2 linked regions of the Neodiprion lecontei genome follow. The protein of the gene in region 1 interacts with the protein of each later gene in a pairwise test. Links are inferred from orthologs where the notes say so. Each region holds a gene or a part of one and is shown on either strand. Other genes may lie near its edges.

What was found. The genes of interacting proteins can lie anywhere in the genome.
Region 2: the proteins of serine/threonine-protein phosphatase 2B catalytic subunit 2 (region 1) and protein sarah interact in binary tests that used the Caenorhabditis elegans proteins (3 or more experiments, as listed by UniProt). The link is inferred for Neodiprion lecontei from reciprocal best matches to the Caenorhabditis elegans genes tax-6 and rcan-1.

The regions. Positions count from the first base shown.
Region 1 is NC_060260.1:6,043,338-6,048,118, reverse strand, and holds the start of serine/threonine-protein phosphatase 2B catalytic subunit 2, read left to right. Parts: upstream 1-1,775; 5' UTR 1,776-2,518; coding exon of another isoform or gene 2,519-2,570; intron 2,571-3,485; exon of another isoform or gene 3,486-3,500; intron 3,501-4,781. Other genes in the region: glutathione S-transferase-like, read left to right, coding at 335-467, 584-751, 853-995, 1,068-1,268. UniProt on the Caenorhabditis elegans protein: Calcium-dependent, calmodulin-stimulated protein phosphatase. Dephosphorylates arrd-17. Dephosphorylates daf-16 at 'Ser-319' which regulates daf-16 nuclear translocation. Dephosphorylates calcium permeable cation channel pkd-2 at 'Ser-534'.
Region 2 is NC_060266.1:20,099,905-20,107,842, forward strand, and holds the start of protein sarah, read left to right. Parts: upstream 1-1,919; 5' UTR 1,920-2,190; intron 2,191-2,701; 5' UTR 2,702-2,721; coding exon 2,722-2,982; intron 2,983-3,068; coding exon 3,069-3,258; intron 3,259-4,075; coding exon 4,076-4,228; intron 4,229-4,329; coding exon 4,330-4,454; 3' UTR 4,455-7,938. UniProt on the Caenorhabditis elegans protein: Inhibits tax-6/calcineurin A phosphatase activity and thereby negatively regulates calcineurin-mediated functions.

The DNA.
Region 1 (4,781 bases):
GGCCCAACTTGCAACGGCAGTCACACAGCCGAGTCGCACAAAGGACACACAGTTTTACGATGGGCCGCGTTGTTAGCAGCATAGTAACCTCCCGACTTTCCTCAAACGTCTCATCAAGGATCTAAAGAGGCTCCCCATTGGCTGCCAGTCGGGTGCGTAGTCTTCGCGACTGGTTCGTTACGACTCATCGTCAGCTTTGAGGATAGGACCCAAGTTCAGTTTGTTCCGAATCAACAGAGTCGAGGGTTGGGTGTGTGCAGGGCTCGTGCGTTTGGTGATACGAAAATTTCGTTACCTACGGTACTTTAATCTTACATCTGATAAGAATACAAAAATGCCCCAGTACAAACTGATCTATTTCAAGACGACGGGAATAGCTGAACTTGCGCGATATCTATTCAGCTATGCAGATCAGGATTTTGAAGATGTGAGACACGATATTACGACTTGGCCGAAGTTCCAACGCGGTAAGATTGTTTTCTTGAAAATTCATGGGACACGCTTGCCGGTTTTCCACCGAGCTTCGTATCCCGTTCCCTCTAATTTATTCATTCCTTTACTTTCTTGTATCCGCATGAATAAGAGACACCCTACGGAGTGTTGCCGTTATTGGAAATCGACGGGAAGGTTTACAACCAGAGCTTGGCGATCGGCAGATACTTGGCCAAAGAGTTCAACTTGACCGGTAGTAACAAACTGGAAGATTTGGAAATCGACTCCATGGTAGACACGATCAACGATTACAGAAGTGGTAAGACAACGATCGACGTCAACTTCACGCATGGAATCTTGGTAACGGGAACTCGGTAAAATTCATTTTGATATTTGATTGGAAAAATTCTGCTTTTTTAGTGTTCAGTCAGTACTTGTGGGAGGCGAACAAGACCGCGAAATCCAAAAGGAAGGAACAGCTTGTGCAGGAAAAACTTCCATTCTATTTGAACAGGTTTGAAGATCGGGTGAAAGCAAATGGCGGCTACTTCGTCGGTGGAAAGGTATGACAAAATTCGGATCGCAACTTTGCCTGTACATTTGAGCTGATTTCAATGTTCCCGAATTTCACTCAGCTGACTTGGGCCGACCTGTGGTTCGTTTCGCTGAAGCCATACCTCGACTTTGTCATTGGATTCGACACTCTGAAGAATCACGCTGCTCTGACAGAGCATGCGAACAAGATCAACGCGATTCCCAACATAAAGAAATGGCTCGATACTCGGCCAACCGAATGCTGCATACAAGAATTCTTGGACGCCAAGCAACAGGACTGATCGAACGCTTCTGCGCGGTGTAATTATCATTAATTCACGATGTAAGATCAATCTTACACCACCTGGCGTGATTTTTTGAAATGAATTCACAAGACAGAAATCCTATGTAACTTGTTCTCTTCGCATTAAATAAAAAGTGTTTTTGTATTCCAACACCGATCGAAGGTAGTGTTCAAACGACGGTTACCATTCCCCGATTACATCGAGTTTCCAGCTTTCGTTGCTCGAACTTGTCGTAGATATGTAACGTGCATCCGAAGGTTGATAGCCGTTATCGACCGCGGCGGCTGCGGCAGGAGTGCAGCGGAGGTCTTTAACAACGTTTGAAAATGAAAATGAAAGGCGGCGAATTGCGCCAGCGTCGTCCAGAGGTCGTTCCGCGATATTGTTCGTGGGTGGTTGAGACGCGAGATGCCGCCAAGCGTCGGAATGCCGATTGGTCAGGGTGGAGAACCGCAGCTGCGTATTTGGTGCCGGCGAGAAGAGCCGAGTCGACGAGAGAATATAGGCGAACCTCTCGTCCTCGAATAATCGGTGCGCCTCCGAGCTGCGCCCTAAAGTTGCGCCGTAGTTTGGCCGCGGAACGACAGTGCGTGCCGTGACCGAGACAGACATCTTGTAGTAGAATTTTAGCACCGCGCTTGCTGGTTACCGCGCCGTGTAGTGTGTCGTGTCCGTGTCCGTGTCGGCCGTGGCGATTGTATTATAATAAATAAGAAAATAAAAACGAGACGGGAACGACGGTGAAATAAAACTGAGGAGAGAAAAAAAAAAAAGAAACAAAAAAAGAAAACGACATACCACGAAAAAACAATAAGGATAAAACAAACACAACAAACGAATAGATAAACCAGCGACAACCGATAATAAAGGATAATCCGTACGCTATCCCTTTGGCGGAGTATAACGCATATTTATTTTTACGAAAAAAAATTACGTCTGTTACAAGTGCGTGGGTGCGCGTCGATTGTCGCGAAGAAGAGATAATTCATGCCCTCTGATGTGTGACGTGTAATTATTATTGTATTCCGTACCCACTTCCCCCTCCCCTCCCTCCCCTCCACCCCCACCAAAGGAAAACGGAAAAAGGAAGAAGAGGAAGGAGAAAAAGGAGGAGACAAAAAACCACGGCGAGGCGATCGTCACGGAATCGTCGTAGAAACCGAAAAGAATAAAAAGAATTGTAAATCAGCGGTATCTCAACCGACCGATCGTGAGTGTCGCGCGATCCCCCGCGACCGCGAGCCAGGATGTCGTCAAATAATTCCCAGAAGCTGTCGACGACGGAACGCGTGATTAAAAGTAAGTTTCCCGAGAGTTTGATAAGGCTACATTTTGCCAATTGGGTCAAATTTTTACACTCTCCCCGCATCCCGAGCTCCCTAATAACCACCTACCGATTTTTAATCCCCCCCCCCCCCCCCCCCCTCTTCCCTTGCCCCAGCCCCGGAAAACGGGGCGCGGAAAAGCCAAGGAAAACACCGTCCGCAGGGTAAGCGAAAACACAGAGAGCCGTCTCCTAGAGAGAGCGACGGATTGATTTTCTGGCCACTCGCCGGCGCCATTGCTATCGACCTACCCTCCGCCAGTTTGCTTCCAACTTTTTACTCGTTCGCTCGCTCTCCGTGCGGGTGGATGAGTAGATTGTTTATCTTTAAACGCTGCTCCCAATTCGCCGCAGATCCCTTCGCCCTCGGGGTTACAGGTCCCTCTGTCATCCTCGCCCCTCGTATCCCTCCCTCCCTCCCACCCACCATTTCGCTCGTCCACCCTCCTTTTCCCCGACACCGGACGCAAGTCGACGACGTCGCTCCCTTTCGTCTGTCAAATTTCATTCCTTAGCCCGGTTCCACACGTTACCCTCGAAATCTCGGCTCTTTCATTCTTTTCCCCTCTGCCGTCGAAGTAGGATCTCTCTCTCAGTTTGTCGCCACCTCTCGTTGATGTTATGCAACACTCATCGCTAAAATTTTACAATTTTTCATTGTTACGTTTATCGATGGTTCGCGAGGAGATTCTGGCGAACAATCTCAACGAGGAACCGACTCTGTCTTTACCGATCAACGAAATGCTCTCTTTCCGATCTGAAAATCGCCAACGCCGCATCATCGCAATTTACCTGTCAAACTGGAACGTCGGTCGATTCCTCATCAGCTGATATCTCAATTTCCTAATGGCTACGTGGAAAAGTAATCTCAATCAAGCGATGAGAATACTGACCTCGATCAAAACGTACGTGTGATTTTAATGAAAAGGATATTTTACCCGAGCTCCAGAAGTGATTATACCGATTGCGGAACCACCGTGTCTTCGCTCTGAAGTTTTATACGCAAATGATTATTCTTATCTTCGCCGGATCTTCAATTTTCATTTGCACTTTTTTTCCCCATCATATCGTAATTGTTTGAAAATATTTCGTTGCAGCACAGCTGTTATACAAATAGGGTTTTATTTTTACCAACTGTGGAACTCGTTAAACTCATCTTGTTTTAAATAATTTGAAAACTTTTTTTTTTCACTTATTCTTATCAGGTTTAATACAATAAGTGATATTAAATTAACCTGTTGGTGAATAATTGAATACTTTTTAAACACTTCTCACACGCGAAATTAGTCCCAACGATGCGATCGCAATATTCCAACAACTATTCGCCGCCTCTTGCATGTTACATTATTAAAAACTGTGTGCGATGTTATTTTTCGACTATGGGCATTTAATCCAAGACTCGGGTAGTCATTTATCACTCAAAAACCTGTTTAATGCCAACGGTACTCGACCAGTTTTCAATTCTAAGTTGTATTGTAATTTTAGCTTAGCTATCCTTAATGAGGCTAAGGTTAGCAACGTTAACGTAACGGAACATCAGGAAAAAATTTATTATTGCACAATTCTATAACGTCGTTTACAAGGAGTAGGCTTTTGAAAATAAGAATAATTACAAGAGTCAATAGCGTGCAACGGTACATACACAGGTATAACGGACGAGCATATTTTCAAGACATATTGTTCAATTCGACCGGCCGGCGGCCGCGACGTTTAACGTAATGCGTCAAAAGGCCAAATTGACGAAAGAAGCTTGAAAACCGCACTTCGGTCGCCATCGTCCATCGCCACGCCTCACCGAAAGACACGAAAAAATTTAGCACCAACAAAATTTATACAAGGCTGCTATATTTATACCCTATTGTAACTAATTAGCTGACAATTGGCCAGCCATCATTGTCACCCCTTTTTATTACTCGTTCGTATCTCATCCTCTCACTTTCCGCACGTAAAAATAAAGTAATCAATAATTGCACTCACCTAATCGATCGCTGGATAATTCCGGTTTACCGTCGAACGTCTGTCAACACACGAGAATAATTAATTCAAATCACCCGAAATATGTAATAGAAAAAAAATGCATATATGCCTGTCCGTGTCATCCGGAATGATAGCTCGTTATACTGTACGCAGCAGGTGGTACAGGATATTAACTCGAAACGCGAAGACTACGCAAGAATGCGTTGAGG
Region 2 (7,938 bases), on another chromosome or scaffold:
AAATAGTGTACATATTCAAATCATCTTATTACGCACCGATCGGGACATTTGCTTTTCGGTTGAATAGTTCACCATAAAATTATTTCAAATCAACGAGCCGTTAATTTTTCAATAAAATTAATCACCAGCTCAAGTTAAAAAGTTGCCAAATTGAATTTGGCCAACATTTGAAACGCTTAAAAACTTTTTCTATTGCCGCTTTGACATTAGTAACTAAATTACAAATGTAAGTTTCGAATACTTTTGTCATCGTACAACTGAAAATTTTCAAATAGTGGACAGTTGGAAATAATCAGTGATTTTAAATTCATGCGACTCACCGACGCTACATCTTGAAAATCGGTCCAGCCTCACCGTCTCAAGTGTATCCTTTCGGGCGTGAATTAAATATTCCTCCGCAGAACACTGAATAAATTTTATATTCCTGTGGAGAACACTCACCAAATTTTGTATTGCACTCGGAATTATCACTGAAATGGCAATCGAATCGATGACTGCATCACGCGACAAAGAATATCACCGATGGAGAGCCCACGATAATTTTTCACCCGGCAAATATAATAAACTCGTTCTCTAAAATACGCACTGCACTTGCTAAGATTCAACGTGACTACATTTTGATTAGAAGATCGAGTACAGAGGATTCGGACTTGCGTAAATAATTTCGAATGTTACCTGAGTTTAACTCGCAACGAAGAAAAATTGACGGTGTGAATTTTTCGTAGCCTAAGCGACTTCGCGGTGCCAGTTGACTGCTATATTTATATCTCTGCGACCCAAATCACTGCACGCGACAAATTTCGAATCTAAAACAGAATATTCTCGCCTACTTTTCATATTTCTTTCACTTCAATAACGAGAAAAAACAATCTTACGATAACGGCACCCCAAGACCCGTCCGTTAAACTGGAGATGAGAAGAAAAATTTTCTACCGATTGTCAGTTGTTTGTACCCGAACGACCCGAACTTTGCTGCATAACTCGCGAATCCCGCCAAAATACATCGACCACGAAGTAAGGCGTTGACAAAGAATTGATAACGAATGCCAATTGAATGCGCTTTAGCTATTACCAACTTTCTTTCAAAATTCCATGATGTTATTCGGATCTTTGTTCTGTACAATATATTTAGAACCTGAGTAAGTCTCGAATAAAACTTCCATCTTACGTTGATAAAATCGGACAACGGCTATCGTGAGATTATTTTTTTCAGTTGATTTTGGACATCAAATTAATGAACATTTACACTCACAATTATCTTCCTAGTCACGGAAAATCGCCATGTGAATCACTTAAGTCAGTACATACTCAATATAAATATCTGAACATGAAATTGGACATGATTTTAAAGTAAATATGGCGTAGTTGAAATGACTGAATTTTTTCGCCCCCGGCGTTAGATTCAAAACTGCAAGACAGACAACTTCTGGTCACTGCGCTGCCGAGTTTGTGAGTAGCTCTGCCAGGCTCTGCCCTGTCCTAGGAAGTTTTTAGCGCTGCCAGCCAGTTCGGAACGCACCGTAATGCCAACACTTCAGATCTCTTATCTTTTTTCACCCTGCAAGCTAAAAAAAAACAAAACATGTACGTCGGTAATATGCATAGGGATAAGGATGAATGAGCGTATTTTGAAATGTGTTTGCGCACAGGCGATATTTCGGAACGTTCTGAAATGGGTAGAGCCTGGACATAAAAAAAGAAGATTATAAGGGGCCGATATCATTAATCCAGTCATCGTCTCCCCTAATACTTTGATTCGAGACGCGTGGTAGCAAAATTCTTTGTTACTACGGGTTATTTGGCTGGGAGATTGGCCATATTTGGCTACCTGTGCGCTTCTTGTGGCGGCTTGTGGTACTACTTATCTGGTAACCCTGGACTCTGGCATACGACATTAGGATGCTACCTTCGTGTCTGTAGGCTCAATGGGTAATCTACCGCTGATCGGTCTAGATTCAACAACAATAAAAATAATATAAATACATTGACAAATTTGAAAGGGCAAAAGCGTCCTGAAATAATCGAATAGGAGGTTCGTACAGCCGTGTAAACACGAGCAGTGTGTTAATTAGCAGACGGTCGGCAGTTCGCTCGGACGAATTGACAGATTGTTGTGTGATTTCTTCTCGAAAGAGAAGAGAAGTCGGACTGAAACTGCATTCGTTACGCGGACACAACGTCTGAAGACAGGTAAATTACAGGGAAATAAATTATATCCGACTATTCTTTGTACACAATGATAATTAACAACAATTTTTTGAATCTTGATCGATATCAATTGACGACGATGTTATCGCCCCGATAATTCGCCTCGTAAAATTCGAAAACAATCGTAAAACAGCCCGCATGCAACAACAATAATTCTACTCGTAATCATCATTGAATGTGTTTTCATCTGTCATCACCGCGTTTCGTCGCCGTGAATTCAGGGCAAAATTTCCCAGTTAGCTTCTTTCAATTTACTCTCCATCCGTTCAATTCCCTGGTTGAAAATTTTGTCGTTAAGACCTGAATTCTTTTATATATATGAAAGATTATAGATAAAATGCCACTGTAAAATTCAAGCTAACTAGCCTCTCGTCTGTGTCAGTGGTAATCTTTGCCACTTGGAAAATAACTGGCGTGGAATCCGTAAGAAAATTTTGTACCACATTGTACAGGTGTATCCCCTTTTGTCACGATTGCTTTTCTTCATTCACAGTTCTACTCCAGGGGGTAAAAATGGAGGATAAACGAGAGGCGAACCTCGATAGTGAGCATGGGTCCTCGGAGAATACGGAGAATATAATAATTAACGAGGTCGACGGCCTGCCAAACTTGCATCCCAATTACCAACAGCTTGAACTAGAATTGGAAGCTGACCAGGATCGCGGAGACGCGAACATGAGAACGATAGACGAATTAGTCAGAGACGAAGATCTCCCAACTTCAGTAATTGTCACCAATGTAGACCCCAGAGTTTTCAAAGATCCTCAGATAATGGTGACTATTCTTTGATAAAAATCTTCAAAATCCAAGGATCTATCGCTCAAGTTTTCTCAACTTAAATCTGTTTTTTTTATTCACAGAGTGGCATAGAAACACTATTCAAACAGTTCGGAGAAAACGCCACTTTTCAGTACTTCAGATCTTTTAGACGAATGAGGGTCAACTACAGTTCGCCCAGCGCCGCTGCTCATGCCAGGATACAGCTGCACCAAACACGTTATGGAGAGACGGATATCAACTGCTACTTTGCTCAACCTGTCACGCCAATAGGTTCACAGTTCCTAATATTATCCACTCATTTTTTATTTATGTGATTTATCCAGAATTTCAATCGCTCAGTAATATTTGACAAATTTTGCTTGAAAACGTTATGCATTTTGGTACAAGCTTCAAAAAGTTTTTAAACCAATTTACTAACAAGGTTAAAATTAGAAGCGTTACAGCTTTTAGTACCTAAACCAATTGAGTATGCAGTAATCCTGCTTGACGTATTCATGAGTTTCTTTGCATAAAGTTTTTGAAGTAGCAAGGAAGCATCCCAAGCACATCGACCAATTTAGAAATCAAGTTTTTCAATTCCGAGAAAACACTTCTGTATTTGGAAAAGACTTTCCTTGTGCCATCAAATATTTAACCTTTTTTCCAACTTTTTTTCTATGCCTTCTCACCTGCAGCGATATTTGTTATGCACAAGGTTCATAATAAAAAAGTTTTATTTAACACAGAGACCATTTAGTAAAGAGAAAAAACATGTTTATTTTTCAAATTTAATGACTAAAACTTGAGTCTCAGAATATTTTTAACTGCTCTGTCACTTAGCCTGAAATATTTATGCAACATTCTCTGCCTATTTATGAAACAACATTTTGTCCACTTCTTCATTTTACAAGTAATTATTGGATAAAGAGTGTTTAAAAATTTTAAAAATCATTAAATCCAATATTATTGATGAAGTTGTTGTCAATTCAGTCTTTTGCTTAGTAACTAATTTTTACTTTAGCTTCTATTTTGACCAGAAATTGAGTTGTTAGGACTTCTAAAATCTGATAACTCTTCTGCAAATAATGAATTAATGATTCGATTTTAGATATGGAAGATCAGCATCTCCACCCGCCAGCACCAACTAAACAGTTCCTAATTTCACCTCCGGCATCACCGCCAGTTGGTTGGGAGCCTCGGGAAGAAGGCGAGCCGCTCGTGAACCATGACTTACTCGCAGCAATTGCCAACCTATCACCAGGTCTCAGATTTACTTACGCTTTACAATGAAAAGCATCATTGTTCCTTACTCAGCATAAAATGTTTTATATTGGCTTGAATTTATCAACGTATTTGTTTCAGGTGCGACCCACGAACTCCATCCAGGCGGATCTGGTCAACCTGGTATAGTTGTCCACGTCTGTGAGACAACGAATCCTATGAAAAGTGGTCCTCGTATACAGCACACACGTTGTCCAGAGTATTAACTTTCCGTAAAACTTTTATTTCTTATTTTTATTGATCGTCCACTAGACGATATTGAATTGCTTACTCCATCCAAACGGCGAGAAGATAATTCATAATCATAAATTATCGCATAGCGAAGTCATGTTTTGCAACAGATAATATATGGTGTTTACAATAAAAGCTTTAACAAATCTGTAAATAAAGAGAAAAAATAGGTAATTTAAAATTGTTATTTATCGCAATTTTCAAATGGTGCACCAAACATGCGTTGCCATGAGGTCGTTCATTGAGTATTTATTATAAATCTTGAGTAATGTAAAATAGGACTTTCTCGTTAAAGAAAATTGATATTATGCATAAATTTAATTTGTATAATAATGCTAAATTTTTTTTCTTGTTCGTTACGAAAGCACGTATTTTGTCGATTTCTTTAAGTATATTCCTTCCATTTCCGGTTAGGAAGAATTGAAATATCTAAAATACTGAAATATTGATCTTTCGTCTGTTCGAATTTCGCGAAAACATAGTTAACCTGGATGATCATTCGAAAGTTGCATGTAACTTAGGGTACGGTAAATTACTGGTTCTAGTTAGCACCATGACAAAATATGGCTTAGCATTGCATTGCCCCCCCCGCCCCGAAATCCTTTAATAATAATCGTTAATTGTCTCGACGTCATTAACAGTGATGACATTTGTTGTTACGATTAACATTATTTTTGTTAATGTGTAAAAGCTACGCGAAGCCGAAAATTTTTTCTATATTTCAGTGTTGACTATTGAAATTCTAATAATCATTATTAGTCGGAAGATTTCAATTATTAAACGTTAATTACAACGTTCGGAGAAAATTCATATGTATTACTAGGTACATACTTAGAACAGTTCCGCAAAGCTAGGCCAGGTCTTACTACGTGTTTAAATCTCACAGTTAGGTATTACAAAAAAAATTTTCAAAAATATTTTGTGTCATTAATCTGGATAGTAATTCCAATATAAGAAAACTCTAGAGGCGGGTGGATGAAACCGATTAGGTCTATTTCAACTATGCTTTTTCTTGGATAAATGGATAACAGCTCAAAAGGCAAAGTGAGAAACCAAATTATATTGCTGAGAAATTGGGAATTTTCGGTCTATATACCTGTCCTAATAAAGTGCACCACTACGGTGGTTGAGTCATCAAATCGAGCTTGTTTATGAGGTATTTGTAACTTGAGTTACAAAGAGAATAGACGAAAAAATTTAAACAGCCAAGTGGCTTCTCCTCGTATTCAATGTAACTTTGGAGATGTTGCATTTTGATGTTGAAATGAGTGTGTGAATGTCTTCTTGTATGTTTTAAATCTATTGTATATATATACAATTATCTACATGATACATATCAGGTGAAACGAAAAAAACTTGTTCAGTTTGAAACAATCAATTTCGCAAAAGTTCACGGTATCGTTAGCGAAAATGTTTTTGTTTTAGATAAAGCGATAGAAGTGGAAATCATTTCTCTTGAAAAAAAAGAGATTCAAATATTGTATTCGACAGAATTCCAAATTACGCTATACCTATACACTCATTAAATCTATATTAGCAATCTGATCTTTGATTGTCGAATTTTTTTTTTACCAACTCTATACACGTTCCTTCCATTAATTCGTTTTAACATTTGCTTATCATTATACAATGATATATCAAACTGAACACGTTTCTTTTAAAATACTTGATATATTACGTCACTTTTTCTGCATATAGTTATTACTTAAGATCAATTATGCATTAAGTTGTATTTAAAATATTTAGGGATCCATTCAGACGGATTGTTGTTGAAAAGAAAAAAGAAAAAGAAAAAAAATTAATCTAAACACGGCCTCTTAATGTTTAAGATTGAATTCGTGAAAATAAAGTTCATAAAAACAAAGATTTTTCTCTCGATTACCGCCAGCTGTGTTTGTATTATTTTATAGTTACAAAGAAATATGTACCGCATTTATAAATCGGTCTCAGATATTATATCTATAATATTAAAAAGCTTACTCGTTAGGAAATCAGTCATCGAACTATGTATTTAATAGGCAATTAGAACAGTTGACTGTTGATGAAATAAATGATAAAAATAAACTCTGCTAATATCTGCTGGAAATTAGAGCTGACAAAAAAAATAAAAATTATTTTTACTCACATATGTATATCTGAACACGATTGTAAGCTACGCAGATTAATATCGTGATGGAGAAAAGAAATTTTATAGTTCCTGTAAAAAGATTGTATATTTCAATACGAAATATGCATAAAAAATTTTGCGCGAAAAATTAATAATTAAATCATATTCATAATAAAGGGCGATAAATGTGTGTCAAATCATTTTCTTTTTTTTTTTTCTTTTCTAAACAATGTAAGAATTGCAATTGAGCCGAATGACATACATATAAGATAGTTGCATAGTAAAATCTATCGTCAACATGTCAATTTATATTTGAAGAGATAGTCCATATGGTTCGGGGAATTATTAATTTTCATACAGTCTTACTTTCAGTTAAATGAATCCTTTTTGTCACAGATTGGAACGAATTTACAAGAAGTGCTTGTGTATGTTTTGAAGCGATTTATTATTCAAACGGAAGTAGGACTTTCTTTATTATCATGAATTGCAATTTTTATTTTCATTTGATATGTCAAACAATAGTATGCTCAATGAGTAAAGATTTGGTAAATGTAATATCATTTACCACGTGATATATGCCACAAGTTTGTCTTGAAAAATGCCATTTTTTTTTTCGCTTCCAATTCATGGGGAATCACAAGTTCTATATTTTACAATCTGGTATAATTTTTTAAAATATTACCAAGGCTTTATACAATATGCAGATTTGAATCGATGCAGCTTACGTAGAATACATTTTTTTCTTCGTCACTAGTTTACACGCATGAAACTCAAAGATTTTCTCTAAAATACCATTAACATCGTATTTTATATTCCACCTTCCAGTAAAAAAGAAGAAAAAAAAGAAAAAAGAAATAAAAATCGGTGGAACTTGGATAGCGTTGTACGTCATTATGTCGCTGACAATATACATACCTATACTTAGATATGAAAATAGGAGAAAAAATAGGTGGATACTCGGATTTGACAACAATACGTTCGTCGCTGAGACTTAACCGGCTAGCAAATATAATGTCCTTATATACACTATGCAAATATAATAGCCCGGTCGATCGTAGAACAAACAGTTCTTAGAAATTAGTCCGAATATTTTAGTTTAAACAGTAAAACTGAGATTACCGTCAACCTCCGTTCTGTATAAGTAATTACTAGTGCTGTCGATACGTTGACGAAGTCAAACGGGGAAAAAGAAAAAAATTCATTCGTTGACTTGACGCTTACCTAAATCTGATACGTATGCAACGATTATACCACTAGATACATTGCAGTGTTTAATTTGATTCTACGATACGTTAACTGGACTGCTATGGTATGTGACTCTTTCCTAATCAGTTGATTATTTACTTCCAGAT